2 linked regions of the Alligator mississippiensis genome follow. The protein of the gene in region 1 binds, or shares a complex with, the protein of each later gene. Links are inferred from orthologs where the notes say so. Each region holds a gene or a part of one and is shown on either strand. Other genes may lie near its edges.

What was found.
Region 2: CHCHD3 (region 1) and MICOS13 share a complex: the UniProt entries of both Homo sapiens proteins name them as parts of the mitochondrial contact site and cristae organizing system (MICOS) complex. The link is inferred for Alligator mississippiensis from reciprocal best matches to the Homo sapiens genes CHCHD3 and MICOS13.

The regions. Positions count from the first base shown.
Region 1 is NC_081827.1:7,415,366-7,426,428, forward strand, and holds the start of CHCHD3 (MICOS complex subunit MIC19), read left to right. Parts: upstream 1-6,292; 5' UTR 6,293-6,337; coding exon 6,338-6,433; intron 6,434-8,960; coding exon 8,961-9,072; intron 9,073-11,063. UniProt on the Homo sapiens protein: Component of the MICOS complex, a large protein complex of the mitochondrial inner membrane that plays crucial roles in the maintenance of crista junctions, inner membrane architecture, and formation of contact sites to the outer membrane.
Region 2 is NC_081839.1:4,004,534-4,014,655, forward strand, and holds MICOS13 (MICOS complex subunit MIC13), read left to right. Parts: upstream 1-5,393; 5' UTR 5,394-5,466; coding exon 5,467-5,495; intron 5,496-5,899; coding exon 5,900-6,056; intron 6,057-7,574; coding exon 7,575-7,626; intron 7,627-8,755; coding exon 8,756-8,853; 3' UTR 8,854-8,955; downstream 8,956-10,122. Other genes in the region: HSD11B1L (hydroxysteroid 11-beta-dehydrogenase 1-like protein), read right to left, coding at 1-105, 558-651, 1,288-1,379, 2,159-2,270, 3,134-3,264, 3,920-4,004. UniProt on the Homo sapiens protein: Component of the MICOS complex, a large protein complex of the mitochondrial inner membrane that plays crucial roles in the maintenance of crista junctions, inner membrane architecture, and formation of contact sites to the outer membrane.

The sequences.
Region 1 (11,063 bases):
TTAATCTAGTACCTGTATTTACAAGTACTAGCTAACTGCGTAGTAGCCTAATTTACTGTGCAGTAAATGCCCTGCACATGTAGACTTTGATGCTTTACTGTGCAGTAGATTAATCTACTGTGTGGTAAAGTGTCTCATGTAGACACACCCATTGAGCAAGGTTCCCTCTAAGCTGTGCGTGTGTGCGGCTGTGCACAAGAAAAAATCATGCCGCGCAGTAACTTTTTAATGCCGTGCACCTGCCCCAACCTGGCCACAGGCTGGTGCAGGAGGGGGGAGGGACAGGCACACTGAGATACCCGCGCACTCCCAGTCAGGACTGCAGCCGCAGGCAGGTAAGTTTCACTGGTCTCGGGGGTGGGGACAGATTGAGACCTCCACAGTGCAGGAGGGAGTGCAGTAGGGGCAGAGCACTGCCCTGCTCTCTCCTGCACTGTGGGGATTGTCCCACGACCCAGCCTGGCCCAGCTGGGGGCTCGTTCACCGTGAATGGGGCCCTGGCTGGGCTGGGGCAATTGGAGCTCGGCGGTTCATCTAGCGGTGTGGGCGGGCGGCTGTGGATCCCGCCACTGCATGCACCGTGGGGGAGAGGGAACACATTCCCATCCCTGCCCCACCCCAGCTCCCTCGTGCCATACCCCTAGACGAGCCACTGGGCTCTGATTGCCCCATGACCCTGCCTGTCTGGGCCGGGTCGTGGGGCAATCGGACCCCGGCAGCCCCTCCAGATGCATGGCACGGGCAGCCAAGTGAGGGCATGTGGCCTGGCCCCTGATCTTTGCGTGGGGCAAGGGTGGGCAGGATCTGTGCTCTACAGGCTCCCTGCCTCTGCACCTCATTGCAGCCTTTGAAAGTGATGCTATGTGCCTCGCTGCTAGGCCCGCCCAGTGGCGGTATGCACTTGGTGCTGTGCCACGTTCAAAGGCTGCAGTAGGGAGCAGGCAGAGAGCACAGACCGAAGAAGTGTGCTCAAGGACTGAATTGGGGTGCTCATGGATCGCTACACCTTAGAGGGAACATTGCCAGGGAGGGCACAAACAAACCAGATAAATGAGGGGAAGAGGAAATAAAAAGAGCAAAATATCATAGAGAGAAGGTTTATGTACAGAATAGCTTGCTTCTTGCCTAGCCTGAAGAAATTCTTGGAGGGGTGAATGATACATGATGGACTAATATTGCCAGCATTCATCATAACATAGAATGGAATTGGAGGTTGTTCCTGAAACTGAACTCCATCAGTCTCTGTCTGCAATCTCTATCTCTGCTCTCAAACCCACACTTTCTACCCATTAGGAACCAACTCACAGCACTTGTTTTATTCTGGAGCAACCTATCTACCTTGGGGGGTTGTATCAGCCTCAATATCCAAGGACAAATATGCCTCTAGAGCAGTGGCACTCAACCTTTAGGAGCCGTGGGCCGGAAGCGTAGCGCAGTGCTGGTCTGCATGCTGCATTGGACCCTACACACCAGGATCAGGCCCCGTGTTGCCTCCCTTGCATTGGGGCCCTGCAATCCCAGACTGAGTTCCAGTGCCACCTACCTTGGCTCCATGCTGCCAGATCAGGGCCCCACACTGCTTCCCTCAGTCCCACACCACCTCCCTGGCCTTACAATAACTTCAGCTGGCCCCTGTGTGCCTGGATTGAGCCCCACATGCCAATCCAGCATGCTATCTGGCTGGGGGCTCCCCATAAGTCTGGAAATTTGGCAGCAGGAAAACAGCAATTGGTGCCACCACTCCCCCCAGAGTCAAATTTTCAGGGCCATGGGGACCCCAGCAGGCCAGATGGCATGGTTCTGCAGGCCAGCTCTAGCCCAAATGCTAGGGGTTGAGTACTCCTGCCCTAGCGTACGACATAACAAGGTGCATGTCACAGCGGCAGGTGGTGAGAAAGAGATTACATGTGTACCTAGGAGGACTGGGCCAGCTGATGAGGATGATTACTTGGCGCAGGGAAAGTTAAAAGCTCCCAGGGAAGGGAGCTGGGAGAGAGGGAAGGCTGCAATGTTGGTGGCATCAGCATTGAGCCAGGGTCCTCTCTCAGGGTCTGGGAAAAGAACACAGGGTTTGGTTAACTTTATTGTTTTGTACTTGGTGTTTGATGATTTATGGTTTATGTTACGTCCTGTGGGGCAAGTTTGCCCAGGGAAAATAAAGACAGTATTATGCAAATTGACAACCTGCTACATAGGGGCTCTCAACCATTTTATACTTGTGGCACCCCTGGAAAAACTCAAAGCACCCCTTAGAAAATGTCACCTCTTAGTTTTCACCCTTAACTATAGGAAAAATACAATAGAGCAGTTTTTGCTGTTGCAAAGAACTCAGAAAGCCCACAGCAAGTCATAAAGTTTTTCACACTGCAGACTGCTATATGAAATCTCTTGGTTTATCTTGTGAATGGTGATTGCACACCTAACAGCGTAAACACCGTGTGCTACCCTTGAAAGGATCTCAAGGCACCCCAGGGTTGAGACGGGGTTCAGAATCACTGCTCTAGAGCCAGGTCCTGTGGACGGTGATGGTGTGGACTGAAAAGAGATTGTAAACGATTGTTTTCTGCCTATTAGTCTAAAGGGCAGGGGCCCGCAACCCACTTGATCACTAGATAGCAGGCAGGAAACTGAACCTGCCAGAGGGAGAATCCCAGTATGTTATAACAGCTGCATGTAAATGGTTGAACCAATGAAATGAACTATGAAAGCGAAAAGAAAAGACATGGTACAAGACAATGCAGTGTGTGAACCCAGGGGGTTTGTACCACGGGTAGGATCTGGTGTTGCTCCAGAAGTGGCATGTGACCAGAGAAGTAAAAATGGCATCATCCCGGATACAAAAGTTGCAGGTTTCTTACCAAATGCCTTAAACGCACAAATGTCAGTAGTCTCTACTTACCAGAATTGCCGCTTCCTAACATCAGGAGAGCAGTAGCAACCAAAAAACATTGCATTGATCCGATCGAAAACAAGAGGCCCCCATTACACAGACAAATCGTGGCTGCCAGCGGACAAAAATCATGGAAAAGAGTCTTCTCTACGATGCGTCCCCTGGATGAAACACTTCACAGGAATAAAAATGTGGCAATCACCACTAGAGATGACCAAGGAGGGTCTTGTGAGGAATACCTCAACTGCCAGGGACATGGGGGTCCCCTATGCTGGGGAGAAACCCCCCCCCACTGCTGAGGGGGTGCAGCCAGGGACATGGGGGTCCCCTATGGTGGGGAGAGACCCCCCCCCACTGCTGAGGGGGTGCAGCCAGGGACATGGGGGTCCCCTATGCTGGGGAGAGACCCCCCCCACTGCTGAGGGGATGCAGCCAGGGACATGGGGGTCCCCTATGCTGGGGGGAGACCCCCCACTGCTGAGGGGGTGCAGACAGGGACATGGGGGTCCTCTATGCTGGGGAGAGACCCCCCCCACTGCTGAGGGGATGCAGCCAGGGACATGGGGGTCCCCTATGCTGGGGGGAGACCCCCCCACTGCTGAGGGGGTGCAGCCAGGGACATGGGGTCCCCTATGGTGGGGAGAGACCCCCCCCCACTGCTGAGGGGGTGCAGCCAGGGACATGGGGGTCCCCTATGGTGGGGAGAGACCCCCCCCCACTGCTGAGGGGGTGCAGCCAGGGACATGGGGGTCCCCTATGCTGGGGAGAGACCCCCCCCACTGCTGAGGGGATGCAGCCAGGGACATGGGGGTCCCCTATGCTGGGGGGAGACCCCCCACTGCTGAGGGGGTGCAGACAGGGACATGGGGGTCCTCTATGCTGGGGAGAGACCCCCCCCACTGCTGAGGGGATGCAGCCAGGGACATGGGGGTCCCCTATGGTGGGGAGGGACCCCCCACTGCTGAGGGGATGCAGCCAGGGACATGGGGGTCCCCTATGGTGGGGAGGGACCCCCCACTGCTGAGGGGATGCAGCCAGGGACATGGGGGTCCCCTATGGTGGGGAGAGACCCCCCCCACTGCTGAGGGGGTGCAGCCAGGGACATGGGGGTCCCCTATGCTGGGGAGAGACCCCCCCCACTGCTGAGGGGATGCAGCCAGGGACATGGGGGTCCCCTATGCTGGGGGGAGACCCCCCACTGCTGAGGGGGTGCAGACAGGGACATGGGGGTCCTCTATGCTGGGGAGAGACCCCCCCCACTGCTGAGGGGATGCAGCCAGGGACATGGGGGTCCCCTATGCTGGGGGGAGACCCCCCCACTGCTGAGGGGGTGCAGCCAGGGACATGGGGGTCCCCTATGGTGGGGAGAGACCCCCCCCCCACTGCTGAGGGGGTGCAGCCAGGGACATGGGGGTCCCCTATGCTGGGGGGAGACCCCCCCCCACTGCTGAGGGGATGCAGCCAGGGACATGGGGGTCCCCTATGCTGGGGGGAGACCCCCCACTGCTGAGGGGGTGCAGACAGGGACATGGGGGTCCTCTATGCTGGGGAGAGACCCCCCCCACTGCTGAGGGGATGCAGCCAGGGACATGGGGGTCCCCTATGGTGGGGAGGGACCCCCCACTGCTGAGGGGATGCAGCCAGGGACATGGGGGTCCCCTATGGTGGGGAGAGACCCCCCCCCACTGCTGAGGGGGTGCAGCCAGGGACATGGGGGTCCCCTATGCTGGGGAGAGACCCCCCCCACTGCTGAGGGGATGCAGCCAGGGACATGGGGGTCCCCTATGCTGGGGGGAGACCCCCCACTGCTGAGGGGGTGCAGACAGGGACATGGGGGTCCTCTATGCTGGGGAGAGACCCCCCCCCACTGCTGAGGGGATGCAGCCAGGGACATGGGGGTCCCCTATGCTGGGGAGAGACCCCCCCCACTGCTGAGGGGATGCAGCCAGGGACATGGGGGTCCCCTATGCTGGGGGGAGACCCCCCACTGCTGAGGGGGTGCAGACAGGGACATGGGGGTCCTCTATGCTGGGGAGAGACCCCCCCCACTGCTGAGGGGATGCAGCCAGGGACATGGGGGTCCCCTATGCTGGGGGGAAACCCCCCCACTGCTGAGGGGGTGCAGCCAGGGACATGGGGGTCCCCTATGGTGGGGAGAGACCCCCCCACTGCTGAGGGGGTGCAGCCAGGGACATGGGGGTCCCCTATGGTGGGGAGAGACCCCCCCCACTGCTGAGGGGGTGCAGCCAGGGACATGGGGGTCCCCTATGCTGGGGAGAGACCCCCCCCACTGCTGAGGGGATGCAGCCAGGGACATGGGGGTCCCCTATGCTGGGGGGAGACCCCCCACTGCTGAGGGGGTGCAGACAGGGACATGGGGGTCCTCTATGCTGGGGAGAGACCCCCCCCACTGCTGAGGGGATGCAGCCAGGGACATGGGGGTCCCCTATGCTGGGGGGAAACCCCCCCACTGCTGAGGGGGTGCAGCCAGGGACATGGGGGTCCCCTATGGTGGGGAGAGACCCCCCCCACTGCTGAGGGGGTGCAGCCAGGGACATGGGGGTCCCCTATGCTGGGGGGAGACCCCCCACTGCTGAGGGGGTGCAGACAGGGACATGGGGGTCCTCTATGCTGGGGAGAGACCCCCCCCACTGCTGAGGGGATGCAGCCAGGGACATGGGGGTCCCCTATGGTGGGGAGGGACCCCCCACTGCTGAGGGGATGCAGCCAGGGACATGGGGGTCCCCTATGCTGGGGAGAGACCCCCCCCACTGCTGAGGGGATGCAGCCAGGGACATGGGGGTCCCCTATACTGGGGAGAGACCCCCCCACACTGCTGAGGGGGTGCAGACAGGGACATGGGGGTCCCCTATGCTGGGGAGAGACCCCCCCCACTGCTGAAGGGGTGCAACCAGGGACATGGGGGTCCCCTATGGTGGGGAGGGACCCCCCACTGCTGAAGGGGTGCAACCAGGGACATGGGGGTCCCCTATGGTGGGGAGAGACCCCCCACTGCTGAGGGGGTGCAGACAGGGACATGGCGGTCCCCTATGCTGGGGAAGGACCCCCCCACTGCTGAGGGGATGCAGCCACAGTCAAGAGGGTTGCTATCCCACAATGCACCGCGGCCCCCTGAGGAGGGCGGGCCCTCCGGCCTTCCCATCATGCCTCGCGCCTAATCGGGGCCTGTGGAGAACTGCGCTACCCAGCGTGCCCCGCGGCGCCGGGAAGAACTTTTCGGCCCCCCCCACCAAAAAAAAAAAAAGTTTTTCTTTTCGTTGGCGGTTTCCATGGGCACCGCGCGGGAGCCAATGGGCAGCGGGCTTGCAGGCGCGGGGGGCGGGGCGCGGGGCGCGGCGGACCAATGGCGCGCGGCGTTGCTGCGGGGCGGGGCCAGCCGAGCCGGGCCGGGCCGAGTCTCCTTGGGCCTGTGCGGGCCGGGGAGCCATGGGCGGCGGGGGCAGCACCGGGCGGCGCGTCAGCTTCGAGGTGGACGAGAATGATCACGTCACGGTGGTGAAGGGCGTGCGGGTGAGCTCACGTGTGCGTGCTCACACAGACGTTGCACGCACGTGTTTCTCTAATGTCCTCTCTAGGGCGTGTGTGTATCTATGTATCTGTCTATCGAGTTACCCCCTCCCCCCCCCCACCAGTCCGCCCTGGACACGGCAGGAGAGAGCAACCACAACCATCCTGCTCATGGTGTGTCCACGCAAACGCACACACGGGCACATGCATGTGTGTGTGTGTGTGTGTGTATACACACCCCCTTCAGATCCATGTGTTTGAAGGGTGCGCAGCGTGCACGCGCATAGGCATGTAGACACACGTGTGCATATACAGACACGTGCACGTGGCGGGTTCGTGGTTCAGTCCGCGACACCTTCCCGTTTTCCACCTCTGGTTGCCGTGGTGAGGTTCAAAGCGTAGTGGTTGTTGCAGCAGCTCTTCCTCCATTTGGGACGGTGCTGGGGGATGGTATGATGTGGATGTCCTTGAAGCGCTTTCTCTGCCCTCTTGCGTGCATGCCTTGACTGAGCTGGGTTGAGCCCGGCTCTGCTTGGGGTGGGCATCAGCAGCACAGGGAGGGGGGCTATAGTGGATTTTGGGGTGGCTCTAGCCCCCACGTCCCTCCCAGCGCTGCTGCCTCCTGCCCCCAGCGCAGCCTAGCCTCCCCGCACTGGGAAGAGCCCCCATCCACAGCCCGCAGTGGCAGCCTGCCCTCCCCACGCGCACAGATGTGGGGGGCGTATGACCTCCATGTTGCCTGGCATGTGTGTAGCAGTGGGAGCCCCCCTCACGGCTCCGTCTCATGCTCCGGTGCAGTGCCTACCCCAGCCGCGGCAGCAGACCCGCTCCTCCCTCACTGCAGGCGCCTCAGTCTGCCGCCGCAACAGACTTACCAGCCAGATGCTGCTTTTCACACTGCCGGGCTGTGCTCCTGGCTGCCTGCGTGCTTGCACTGCGGCTGCGCGCACGCACGCGGCGTTCGTCGGCAACGTTATCGGCCGTATCAGCCACAAAAGCCGATTGCCGATAATGTCAGTTTTCCTTTTATCAGTGCCGATCTGATGTGGTACTGGTGTATCAGTGGACCTCTAATGTATAAAGTAGGTGGAATAGTTTTTAAACTGCACATTATGTGTGTAGACACACATATAATATGATGTGTGTGTATTCAGACGTGCACACAGACATGTATACATAATGTGAAGTTTAAGGGAGGTTTCCTTAAACCCATGTGCACCCTGTATGAGGTGCTTAACTACATGCATGCAGGGTCATAGATTCATAGAAGTAGGGTCGGAAGGGACCTTGCATATCTTCTAGTCCGACCCCCTGCCCTGAGCAGGAGAGAAAACTGGGTTCAAATGACCCCAGTTAGGTAATCATCAAGCCTTCTCTTAAAGACCCTCAAGGTAGGAGCCAGCACCACTTCCCTTGGAAGTTGGTTCCAGATCCTAGCCGCCCTGACAGTGAAGTAGTGCCTCCTGTTGTCTAGTCTAAACCTACTCTCTAACAACTTATGGCTGTTACTCCTTGTTACTCCGGGAGGCAATCGGGGGAACAAGGTCTCTCCCATTTCCCACTGTTCCCCCCTAATAAGTTTATAGACAGACAGCACCATGAAAGCTGGAACTATTTACTAAAAGGTTGGAAGGCCTGAGACAAATACCATGCTGGTAAGTACAGAACAAACAAGTAACATGTTGAACATATATATGTAACATGTATACATTTGTTCAATGTTTTAGCAGTGTCACCCAAAAAGAATTTGGACAAATAAAGCCTCTTTAGATCTACCTTCCTAATGTATTGTTGCTTTATTAGGTTGAAGCTGTGTCAAGTCAGTTGTTATTTTTTTTCCATTTGAGAATGAGGCCAACAGATAAAGTAGGGAATCTTATTTGTTTTATTTTGCTTTTCTTAAAAAGAGAGTGAGAGTGAGGTACAGCAAGATGCTGAAATAAAAACATGATGATTAATACGGGGATAATATGGATTGTATTTTTGGTGGGCTCATTTATGCCTGAAGCCTGGCATACTTTCCTCTCCAACTTTGGTCAAATATTTCTGAAGCTACCAACATTTGTGAGAATTCTGTGCAATGCTGAGGTTAGAGCATGTGTTGACTACTATTGTCACTTGTATTGCCATAATCAGTCAGGGCCAAGGCTGTCTTGGCTATACCCAGTGCTCCTGCAAAGTGTTCTACTTGATTATGATCCAAATGACTGAGACAAGGATGGGAAGAAAGCATATGAGCAACATGTAAAAGGCATAGTACTTGTTGTTTATATTTCCTTTGTCCCTAGATTTTTTTAAAATTCTCCTGAACAATTCACTCCAGCTTTTTGTCCATGATATACACTAAACTGCAAATTAACCTAATTCACTCTAACCAGAAGGAACTGGTTTTGCCTGGGGAGAAAAGGTAGGGAAGTAAAACCTGTTAAAACTTGACCAAAGAGATAGAATTAGGTGATATTGCTTTTTATTCTGTGATTTTTATGCTGGCTCACTTCTTTTTTTGCAGCTTGCTTTATGTAACTGAGTTTTTTGTTTTCAGATCTCTGACTCTGTCATCGATCGTATGAAGGAGACATCTTCACCCGGTGCAAAACCATCCTCTCACCAGCGATCAGCATCTGGTGATCATGGCTTGCATGGAGCTGCTGCAGGTATGTGTGTACTTCCTGGGGACAGAAGAGCGGGTAGGGGAAAGAGAGAGAGAAAAATAGGGTGCATTTTATAGATTACTATATAGTAGGTTTGGAACGTTTCGGAATCTTTTATTGGACCAGATAGTATACTTGGGAGAGAGGTTAGGCAAGCCTTGAGGGACAAAGTGTGCTGGCCATTTGTGTGTTACTGTTTCATGGTGATGAATCTCTTCTTAGAAAGTGAACACATTCTAAGAATGTTTTATGTTTTAACAGGTTTTATGGTATTATAACTTTTAATTTATTTATTTTTTTCTCTTCCAAGGACCTTGACAATAAAGTGTTAATTTCAGGTGATTGTTATAGACTTGGGTTTTTAGTTCACAACTAGTATTTTAAGTATTTTCTTAAAAACATACAAAATAAATGAGGTTAAAGGTTAGACACTATGGCAGGTATGGGCCTTGAGGTAAGATTTGAAGCTGTAGAATGTAGCAACTATATTATATTGCACTGAATGCATTACAAATATTAAATTTCACAAATGCTCCTGTTATGAAGTAGTCTGTTAAATTTAACAGAAAGAGAAATTGTGACACGATGAGGTGAAGTGCTTGATTTTGCACACTGGATCAGCTGCCAGGGTGTAGTCAGTGTCCTTTGAAGTCCATAGGAGACATTTCCATTGACCCCCGTAGACTATAGAGTAGGACCTTAGTCCTCTTCTTCAGTCCAAAAAATCTAATTTTGTGAAAAGGATGTCATTTTTGTTGTATAATGTCGTTATGAAAAGAGCACGCCACAGAAATGCATTGACTAGGTTTTCTTTGAAGTTATCCCCCTACCTCTTCTAGGCCTTTGTAGTGATATGTTTCACCATAGACTCTCCATCTGCCTGAAGAAGGGTGTTTGTACCCAAAAAATTGCAAGGAACAATTTTTCCAGCTATTTAGTTGGTCTAATAAAAGATATCACATTTACTCAAAGAACTTTGTCTACCATAGCATTAAAGTGCTTTTGTAAACCCGGAAGTTCTTGTTGGCGTTGCCCATCATTATCATTATATGCAGTTAAAGAACAAACTAAATTTGGTGTGTTGAATAAAGAGAGCCTTGTACTTAGGAAACTGTGAAATATGAAGGGGTGGGTGATTGGAGCATAGAACTTGAAAGGAATCGCAGAGGCCTAATCTTGAGGTGCATGTGAGTTGGTTCTATATTTGGCTCCTCCTTGTGTGGGGGAAGCAATATACTTCTGAATAGTTTGCAAGCTTGGGCAAACTTGTATTAGCTTTCTTGTACATTTTCAGTTTTAAAAACAAAAGCCATCCATTTAGACGAGGTGGTCATATTTCTTCAGAAATGTACAGCAGGGGTTGGAGCTCTGTTTTGTTGCTAAATGAACTGTATTTAAGAGGATATAATTATATTTAAAGTAGGGGTGCACTGATAGAGATTTTCTTGGCTGATACTGATAGCCAATGATTAAGCAAACATATTGGCTGATGCTGATCTGATAACTGATATTTAGTAATAACTCGGGGCATTTTAAAGTATTGGCATAAGCTTTTTTTTTTTTTTTGCGTGCTCCAGCAGCCTGCTGCATTGCATGCATCAGCGTTCTGGCACTTTAAAATTATGTGTGTGTGGTGGGGGTGGCACTTGAACTTAATCTCATTGAATGAGCTGAAGTTCAGTTGTCACTACCACCATTTTTAAGTATGGGATGCTTTTAAGCAGGGCAGAGGCAGGCTGCCTGCTGTGGGCTTGGGACTCTCTGCCTTGCTGCCTTTGTACTGGGAACTCCACATTGCCCGTGTGCCGCTGCTTGCCTGGCAGCCGGGGGCTGCTGCTGGGCTGGCAGGGTGCACGTGGCCAGTGCAGAGCTCCTGAGGGAAAGGCAGCAGAGTGGAGAGCCCTGACCCTACAGTGGACAGCCTGCTTCCACCCTGCGCAGAAATCTCAGGCGGCACATGCCCCTCTCCCCCATGCCTCCACCTGGGGGTGCAC
Region 2 (10,122 bases), on another chromosome or scaffold:
TGTCTTTCTTCTGCATGGCGAGCTCATGGCGCAAGGAACTAAAGAACCCATCCAGGGCAAATTTGGTGGCAGAGTAGGAAGTGGCGAAGGGGGTTGCGATTTTCCCTAGGAAGAAAAAACGAGAGAAGGGGAAACCCAGAGAAAATTGGGTCTGAGTATGAGGCCCTGCTGGGAGAGGAGCCAGGGAAGGGAGGATGATCTGAGCTACATCGACCCACTGCTCCAGCTGGACAGGCTTCCCATCTCCAGCAGAGGCAGTGTGAGACGGTTCCCTTCCAAAAAATGCACCAGGGGAAAGTACTCCTTCCTGACCCCGCATAGCCACTGAATAACCTAATATTTGGCCTCTCACTCCAGAGATGGCTGTCTTTTAGCCGTGTCCTTGACAGCCCATGTGAAGTGCTGTGGGGGTCAGCAGCCCAGACAAGCTCTAGCAAGGGGCAGTCAGACTCTGAATCGAATGACTGTGGCAACACTGGTTGCGGACCGTGAGGAAGCACAGCATGCCGGGAAGTGCAGCCCTCCTGGATCGTGCTTTGTGGAGGTCACAAACTCACCTGAGATGGAGGTCACCACAACCACGGAGCCTTTGCTCTCCATCAGGACCGGAAGCGCAGCCATCGCCAGGGCCACGTAACTAAGGAAATTCACCTGTGGAGGCAGGAGAGGGGGCATGAGAAGAATGAGAAAGTCACCGTTCCAAATCTACACCCCTCCTGAGCTTACCTGTAATGTGAATTTACAGGTAACTCTTGGCCTAAGTTTCCCCCTGAAGTTGGGGTGTCGCCCCTTGCTACCCCTCTCTATCCCCAGCCCCCAGCTTCCACTTCCACATTAATAAAAGATTCAAGCCTTCTCATTACCATGTCTCAGCAACCCCATAAGTCTGCCCCTCTGGGGTCCTAAAACCTGACCTCAGGAGGACTCCACAGAAAGGCCCAGCATGGACAGGCATGGTGCAAGAGCCAAGGCCCTGTAACACAACATCAGTCAGGTCCTACAGCAGCACATACCTTGGCAATGAGACGGACAGACAAGGGCAATGCTCTAATCAGTTCAGCTCTCTACCTGCAGGCTTTCAGACCCCTCCTCCCCCTTTCCCTCCAGTCAGGAGCAAAGCATCACAGGCTTTTTTGTTTCACCCTTTCTGGAGCCAGAGGGCACAACTGCAGCCCTGCCAGAAGCCAGCGGCTCCTGGGAGCTGCCCCCAGCTTGATCCCCGCAGGGGCCAAGCCTCTCTGCCCCTCTCCTCCACCCCCAAAGGACTCCTACCCTAAGAAAACCCACCTGCAGAAGCCAGCGGGTGTGCTCCACGTCCCCATCCCACATCTGTAAAGGGGTCGCACCAATGTGGTTCAGCACCAGGTAATCCAGGCCCCCTGCAGGCAAGGGGGCAGTGAGAGTTGAGTAAAGCACCCCCCACAAGTCAGGCAGCCAGGGGCTGCGAATTGCAGCACAGAGGCACACTTGGGGCTTCACAGGCCAGATAAAATGGCCTGGATCTGGCCCACAAGCCGTAGGTTGCCAATCCCTGCCACTGCTTTTCCCCCCTTACACATGCACAGCAAGAACGGTTGGCTCTGACCAGCTGAGCTCACAATACACAGTCTGGGTCCTGCTTCATGCTGCCAGTCCAAACTCTCCTCTTCTACGCACACATCCCTGACCAAGATGGGGAAACAGAGGCACCGTGCTCCTGCGGTGAGGAGGGCTGAATAGATACCCAGAGAGATGGAGGGGAGTGCAGAACGAACCACGATAACCTGCGGGTCAGGCAGGGCACCCAGGAAAGCTGACGCTGCACATCTGGCTCTCACCCATGCAGACCGGCTTCATGAGTGCAAGATGCAGCAATGCACAGCCCGTGGAAAAGGAGGTGCAGCAATGCACCCCCCCTCCCCGGACCCAAGCTCATGGTGAATTGAAGCAGATGCTTAAAGGGAACCGCAGAGTAAAGGCAGTTTGGTGGGGATCACTGCCGTCAGCTTCTCCGAGCACCTTTGACCCCGTGTCACCTCCTTGCCCACACAGCCGCCATGGGGACAGTGCTCTGCTCTCAGCTGGGTTGGATCTCTGGGATCTGACTCACTGAGACCCCACCCTGCTGGTTCCTCCTCCCCAGCATCAGTTGCTTTTCTTCTAACAGACCAATACCTACCCATCTTTTGCACAGCGAACTGCATCACCCGCTCGGGCTCCGCAGGGGAGATCATATCAGCCGGGATGTAGAAGACCTTCTTGGCTCCCAGCTGCAGACATTTCTCCGTCACCTGGAGAAATGACCCAGATAAACCAATTGAAGTACATTATCAGGGCAGGGGCAGGGAGCTTATTTCCTACTCACCTCCCTCTTTTCTTGCCTGGGTCAAGGATGAACAGAGACACACTTTTTCCATCCAAATTTATAATCACACAACCTACAGGGGACCAAATTCTGCTGATGCACTCAAGTCTTGTTTACAAGGGGGAAATTAACTGGAAAAGTTCTCTGTGCGGACACTCGCAATCTGCTTTCCAAGTGGATTAATCTTAAAAGAAAAAAACCTCTCTTATTCTGGAATAATCATGCCAACATGGAGAGCTATTCTGGAATAGCTGGTAAACTGGAAATCCATCCTTTTCCTTCAGCTGGAATACTTTTCAAGCGTAGACAAGCCTGAAGGAGCCAGGTCCTTTGACGCCGTCACAGCACTGTTTGACATGGAGGAATGAGTCAGGGGTTGAAATGTGATGCTAGGCCTTGGGCTTGTGACCCCCTGCCCTAGAGCAGAATTGAGCTCGGAGCTGTCGAGATGAACGTTACACCATTCACACAACCTCAGGGGCATTTGCTCTCAATGTTGCTCCACCTTGTTCTTCAGAGAAGCCTGCTATGAATGTCCAACCTGCTCCAATGACCCTGCACAGGTCAGGTTCCCTCCTAGATCATCTCTCCCACCATGCATCCAAATCTGATGAGGGAAGTGGTGCATCCTAGGAGTCAGATGGTGGTGCTGCCTGAGAGGTGTGAATGTGGCTGGGCAGCTCACCCATACCAGTTTGATGGAAAATGTCTGACCTGCCCTACATCCTCATTGTTTTTAGGTCCACGTCATCAGCCCTGCTGCCCTCTACCATGTGAAGGAGGTCTCACCTTCTGCAGCACAGCTTCCCTCCTGGCTGTCAGCACTATTTCGGCACCAAATCTGGAATAATGATAAGCCATCTGCTCTCCAATCCCAGCGCTGGCACCCGTCAGGAGCACGCGGGCGCCGGAGATGGTTTCTGCAGGGTGGAAAGAGGAGTAGCAATGACTGAGGGGTTCAGACCAGTGGCCACAAGTCTCTGTGCTTCTCCAGAGCCAACCAAGATTCAGGATTGGGCTGGAAAACCCAGTCTGGGTGGGAAATAACATGGGAACGCTGGTCCGGCAAGGGCGGGGAGACCCTTCTCCTTCCGAGTGGCACCTGGAAAGACAAAGTCTAGCTCTGACCGAAATTTTGGATCAGTCCCTGGGTCACGTGAAACCCTATCCCACTATAGCTGCCGGGCAGATTTGACTCCCCTATCTCGCTGCAGTCGAGACGCCTCCTTTTGTTGTGACCAATTTGCTGAATCATTACGCCTCCTGTTCCTAATGAGGCCATCCCTTGCAGACATGTGCAACCAGCAGCCAGAGCTCCCAAACCCTCCTACCACTGACCCGCACCACCTCTGCCTGCCTACAGTGCTGCCACCCCCCTGCCTCCTCCTCCGCCGTGTTTCCACTTGTTTTCACAGGTCTCCCAGCTCCCATCTGCCGCCGGCTACAAGGAGAAGCAGTCCCGGAGAAGCAGACGACTCTCTCCAGATGAGAACGCCGCAAACCACCATTTCAAAACTCAGCCTTTTTTTCTCCCCCGACAGCTTCTGGCTCTCGTGCTTTCCTTTCTGGGCCTACCTGGGTTAAAGATGTCTCTCCAGAACAAAGCCAGGAGCCCGGCGGCAATCCCAGCTGCCCACAGCGCCTTCCATCTTGCAGACATTTCCCCTGCGGCGCCAGACGACAATGCAAGGGCGAAGCCTCAAGGCTGAGTCCCGTCCCAGCGCTGTTCACCTCTGCCCCTGAGGACAGAGGACAAAGTCTGGGCCCACCGCTCCCTCGTGCAGGCAGCAGGGAGACCCTTCGGGTTGCTGATTTACCTGGAGGAGACAGCTCTGCCAGGGGACCAGGTTGCAAAGCAGCTGCAGTTCCACTGAGCCGGGAGATGGGAGCTGCACAACCCTGAAAACAGAGATAAAAAGGAGCAGGGCCATGATGCTCCTGACTGACTGATGATACCCAGGGCCGAGCATCCTCTAGGAGGAACAATGCCCTGCTATTGCAGAGACATGGGAACTTCATCCTGTCCCCCCCCCCGCGGTGTTTGGCCTTCTGCAGGCTCGTTAGGGCCGGATTTCGGTGGCACTTGGGTCAACCCAGTCAAAGCCCGTGTCAGGGTTACAACAGCCTCTCTCTCGCTGCCTTGGCTGCATGGTTTGGATGAGGCGCCTCGTCAAAAGATGAAGGGAAATCACAGAGCGAGGAGCAAAGTCTTGCGACGGTCGGCGCAAGCAAGCTCCCCACGACCAAAACCTCGTTACCTCGGTCTCTAGGGAGACGAGGCTGCAGCCCGTCCGTGACCCGGACCTTCCTTGCAAGCTTAGACGCAGAATTAGGATACGGCTACAATTCCCCTTCATTTTTATCACCGCTCAGTCAGGGGGGAAATAAAGGACTGGCACCAAATCTTCTTGAATGCAGAGTTTCTCTCCTTTTGCTTCAGCCCAACATCGACAGATGACTTATTTTAATAGTCTAATCGTTGTTCTCCGATTGGTTTTATTCAGATGTTTTTGTTTCACGCCAGTTTAAGGAACTGAACTGAACCAGCTCTCGCGGCCGTGGAAAGAGTCGGTCAGTTGGGATGGATGCGCCTGCGCGAGTCCCACGCACGCCTGGAGGGGACGATCCCTTCGCAGTATTTATATTTCCAAGTGGCAAGCCTGCTTGATTTGTATGACTCATCTAAGAAACAATGCAGATATCCACTAGGAGACATTTAATTACACTAATCATTACAAGCCAGAGTGATGATACAGTGTATGTATATCTAATTTTGGGTGATATATTCTGTACAATCTGCATGCCCCCCCACCCATGCTGTTTCCTCCTGGGTCCTGCCCAGCCCCACCTCGCAGAGGCTGCTGGGACAGCTCTCCCCCAGACGGGGATCACGTGACCCCACCCCAACCCGGAAGCCAGGCCGCTGCCATGCCAGCTATTGAGGCGGAAGTGCGCGCTGCGGCTGGGGCGGGGCCGCGCCTCGGCAACAATGGCGGCTTGGCCACGTGACTGCAGCCGGCGACTACAAGTCCCGGGGGGCTGTGCGGCGAGCCGGCCGGGCCGGGCGTGGAGGAGTCGGTGCAGGCGGGCGGGCGGCGGCGCGCTGCCCTTGGGCTGCGGTCATGGCGTCGCGGATCTTCCCTGTCGTCAAGTGAGTGCGGCTCGCCGACCTCCCCCGGCTGGGGGTGCACGGGGCCGGGCACACGCGTCCTCGGGGGGTCCAAGGGGGCGCCCATGGCTAGGGAACGCACGTGTCGGCGGGCACGTGACTAAGGAACACGCATGTCTGGTGGGTGCAGGTGTGATTGGGGAACACGTGTGCTTGGGGGGGTGTGCCCATGTGTATGGGGGGGGTGCAGGTGTGATTGGGGAACACGTGTGCCCTGGGGGGGTGCAGGTGTGCCCTGGGGGGTGGCACATGTGACCAGGGACACGGTGCCCTGGGCTGGGGGGGAGGGAGCGGCCCGTGTCCCCTGGAGAGCGGGGGCTACTTCAACAGCACCTGGAGCCACGCGAGACCCACCCCGATGCCGTCTCTGACGGCTTCCCTCCCAGGTTCATGGTCAAGGGCAGCCTGGCCGGCGGCGCGGTGTACGTGGCGTACGACCAGGGCCTGCTGGGAAGCGGCCAGCAAGGCGCCGAAGCCCTCCGCAAGGCGCAGGCGGCGCTGCCTCCAGCCATCAAGGAATGGACGAACTACGTCGGCTGGGAGGTGAGGACGGCGCAGGCGGCTGGGGGGGCGCCGCAGGGAGCCCCTCGCTGGAGGGGGAAGGAAGCAGAATTCGGGTTCTCCCGCGGCATCGTTTTGCCGCCGACTTCAGCGGAGTCGGGATTTCACCTTGGAAGGAAAAGGGATTGTGCGCTCGTTTCTTCTCTCCCTCCACGGGTCTTATTGGAGGTGGGGTGCGCAAGAAACAGTTTGCGGAGGACAGGAGAGGAGCGTGAACATGCCGTGTGAGACAGTTTCTAACCCCCTTGGGGGTACACGAGACACAGGCAGGGGTATGTGGGTACCCCAACACTCTCACCCTCTCTTCTTCTCTTGCCCCTTCCACCTCTCAAAACTATGGCCAAAAATTTGGTGCCCTGCACATTTGCACGGTGCTTTAAATTCCCCAGTAATAATTTGGCATGCCACGCTTTGCATAGCACTGGATTCAGCCCTTCAAACTTCGGCCAACATCGCCTCTAGCCCAGGCACATGCTTGAGTGGTGCACCCCTGGTGTAAAAGGTGTGCAACCCTGCACACACCAGATCAGACATCTATCATATCACAGCCTTATAGACACAGCCCTTCTTCCAACATATAGCACACATTAGTCTGAAAATATAAAATCCCCTGGAAAATTGAGTGTTGAGGTACTTATTAAATTTTTCAGAAGTTAGGGGGTACTTGCTACTTAAAAGGTTGAGAAACACTGATCTGGGAGGTGTTTTTATGATAAGTAATGCTCCTGACCCCTTGTTGGAAAGCCTCTAAATCAGAGGTTCCCAGCCACTGGGCCGCGGCCGTGAAAGGTTGGCTGCCAGGTCGTGGCACGAGCCCCCCTCTCGGACACCAATCTGTCCACCCCAGCAGCAGTCGCAGCTGGGTGCCAGGGCAGCCCCAAGAGGGAGACTGCTAGCTCTGGCTCCATCCCGCTCCGCAGTATGAGACAGGTTGGGAACCATTGCTCTAAAAACTACCGAATGGATCCACCCTCAAAGACCCACTCCTGCCCTGCTGCTTCCTGTTAATAACATGGTCTATAAATTGCTTGCGGTAGTTTTCCCTTGGCCTGGCTCTGACTCCCTAGATTGGAAAATCTGCTGTGCAGGGACAGTGTTTCCTGGACTAGGAAAGCCCTAGTGCCATAAATCGAGATATAACCATAATAAACCAAGTCCTGGTAAAATTTAACAGTGATATTTTTAAAAGCAGCCAAGTGGATTCAGATCTAAATCATTTTGGTGCACTTTTAAAATGCTGCCTACTGCCCCAGTCTTACAAATGGGCCAGTAAGAGAGAAGGTAAGAGCCCAGGTTTCTTTTCTGTGCCCCATGGAATTGAAGAGGGAGTTAGGTGCCCAAATACCTTTAACAATCGGGGCCTGAGGGCCTTGTTCAGCATGACCTGGGAAGCCTGGTGGTGCCTGTTCTGCTCTTTCCTCTCTTAGCATGTTGCTTAGCGGCTTTGTATGTAGCTAGCGGGCCAGACATTGAGGTTTTGCCTCTTGTTTTCTCTTTCAGCTTCCATCTACTCCAAAATTTGACTTTTCTGTCTCTGAATCCTGGAACAAAGGTAAGGCTTCTGCTTTTTTGCTGCAGAAGGGGGCTGCTGTCACTGATGTAACTTATCCAACAATCCTATTGTGAGGACTTGGCGAGAGCTAGTGCATGGAGCACTGGATTAGGATTTGGGAGACCTGGCTCTGCCACTGACCTTCAAGGTGGCCTTGGGTGGATCTCTTTACAACTCAGTTCCTCAGTTTCCTTGCCTGTAAAGTGGGGATAATATTGGCCACCTTTTATTCAAAAGTGCTTTAAAATCTACTGATAAAAATGCCATGTTGAAGGCAGGTGGCCTTTTTGCAGCTAGTAACCCAAGTACAGAAGCACTCGTAGAATTGGCAACAAAGCATGATAGTGCTGAGCTGCTCTTTAGGAGGTCATCAATTAAAAATTGAGGAGTTCTATAAAATCCTTCAAGTGCTAGTACAATCAGTGGGACTCGGCATCTAACCTGCTGTGATGGTCTGAAAATGTAAGATGGTTCCCGTTATTATTGGGACTTCTCCAAATAATACAGTGCCCTTCTCCAGCCTTTTTGATCTGATCATTGCTAACATATGTGGAAAACATCTAGAAAATGAACTCAACCTGCTTCTCATTTTCCAGAAGGAGAGACTGTGGGCAAGTTGCTTACCGTTTGCAGGCCTGAGTTGCACAGCAAGTCTGTGTCAGACCCAGGAATAAAATACAGAGTATCCAGGCCTGTGCTGTAACCATGAAGTCTCCCTTCCTTCAGACCCCTTTAATATCCTAGACAGAAAGGAGTGAAAGGGACCACAAGAGGACATCTCATCCAGCCCCCCTGCTCAATGCAGGGGCTGAATTGCCCCAAACATTTGCCAAACCTACACTTACAAGCTTCCAAGGACAAAGGTTACACCACTCCCCTGGCTAGTGGGCTAGGTAGTGGTGGTGGGGAGGACCCACTGACTACTGATGAGACCGTAACAACTGCACCAGAATCAGGAATTATTCAGGCCTAGACTTGACTGAAGATTCCCTTGATATAAGCCAAGATCTCTGGTATTATGTTTAAACGGGGAAGGGCGTGTGACCCACGATATCACATTATTGGTGGTACAGCATGCTTTGTTAATGCTTTTCTCAGGACTCCCCTCCATGTCTCTTTTTTCTTGCAGGAGTTCACACTGCCATGTCGGCTCTGTCTGTAGCTCCCACCAGGGCTCGTGAATACACCCAGAAAGGCTGGAAGTATGTGAAGGACCTTGCTAAATGAACACTCTCCAGGGCTTGCTGCGTCTCCGAGATGATGCATAGCACGCGCCTCTGAGGGGCAGCTCAGCCACGCAAGGGCTACAATAAAAGACTTTGGAACTTCCCTTTGCATTCGGGTCAGTGTCGGCACGTAGGCTCAGCCACGGGGGCTAGGAGCCACAGTGGGGACAGGGCCTGATTGGGGTGAGTTCTGCCTAGACCGGTGCATTCAACCGCTGTTATAAAGTTTACCATTATAAAGCAGGTCTTTCAGTATTGTACAAGTGTAAACCAAAACCCTACAACACCTAACCAGCCCAACAGACATACTAAAAGATATGGTCCAAGGACAAAGCCCAGTACAAATAATCAGAGTTTCAGCAACTGCAAGGAGACGAGGAACATTTTTCTATCTTAAGCTAAACCCACTGGACTGACTGCTATCTCTGACCTATCATCCCATCCTTTATAATCCCCAACACTGATTTAATGCCAATCTTGTGTCCCCTTTGAATCCACTGATTGCGTAGCCTTATTCAAATCTACCTAGATTTTGGTCTCAGTAACTTCAATGAGACCTTGACTAATACAGCCTTGTTTCCACGTAGTATATAGGCAGCGCCATCAGACCTGCCTTTAGCCAAGGAAAGAAATGCTGCCTCTTATGAAAGGTGTCTTGAATTCTTTTTGGAAACATGTGAAGGGTGATACAGGAAATGATTTGAAGCAGGAAAGGTTAATCACTTTGCTGATGGAGACCAGCTTCTGAGATAGAAGGTATATCTACAATTCAGGCACTGTGGCTTGCAGAGACCTACTTAAGCTAGTTTTAAAACTAACTAGCTTGGGTACCAGTGGCTGGCTAGCTGTAAAAGCTAGAGTCTGGAGTAATTATTCTTGGAGCATTTACCTATCTTGGGTGGGTGTTGCGGCCTGCCTTCCATGTGGCTGCAGCTATGCTGACAAAAGTACCCCAACTCGGGAGTTTAATGCCAGCACCTGTATCTCTATACAAGCTGCAGGGTGAACATCAATTTTGTCCACACCTGGGCAGAAAGCCGAGCTGCAAAGAGCTGAAGCAAAAGTCACACAGCAGATCTGGCAGTGGGAGGACTAACCTTACACGGAAGCATTTGTGGCTCCTATTGTGCTCTACTATGCGGAGGGCAGAACCCAGGAATCTTGGATCCCAAGAGCTGGTTTTTCAGCAGAAGTTGCTGGGGCCAAGTCCAGTCCCTTCTTTTACGTGCCTGTCATGAGCTGAGACCTCTTGGAAAATCCACTCGCGAGG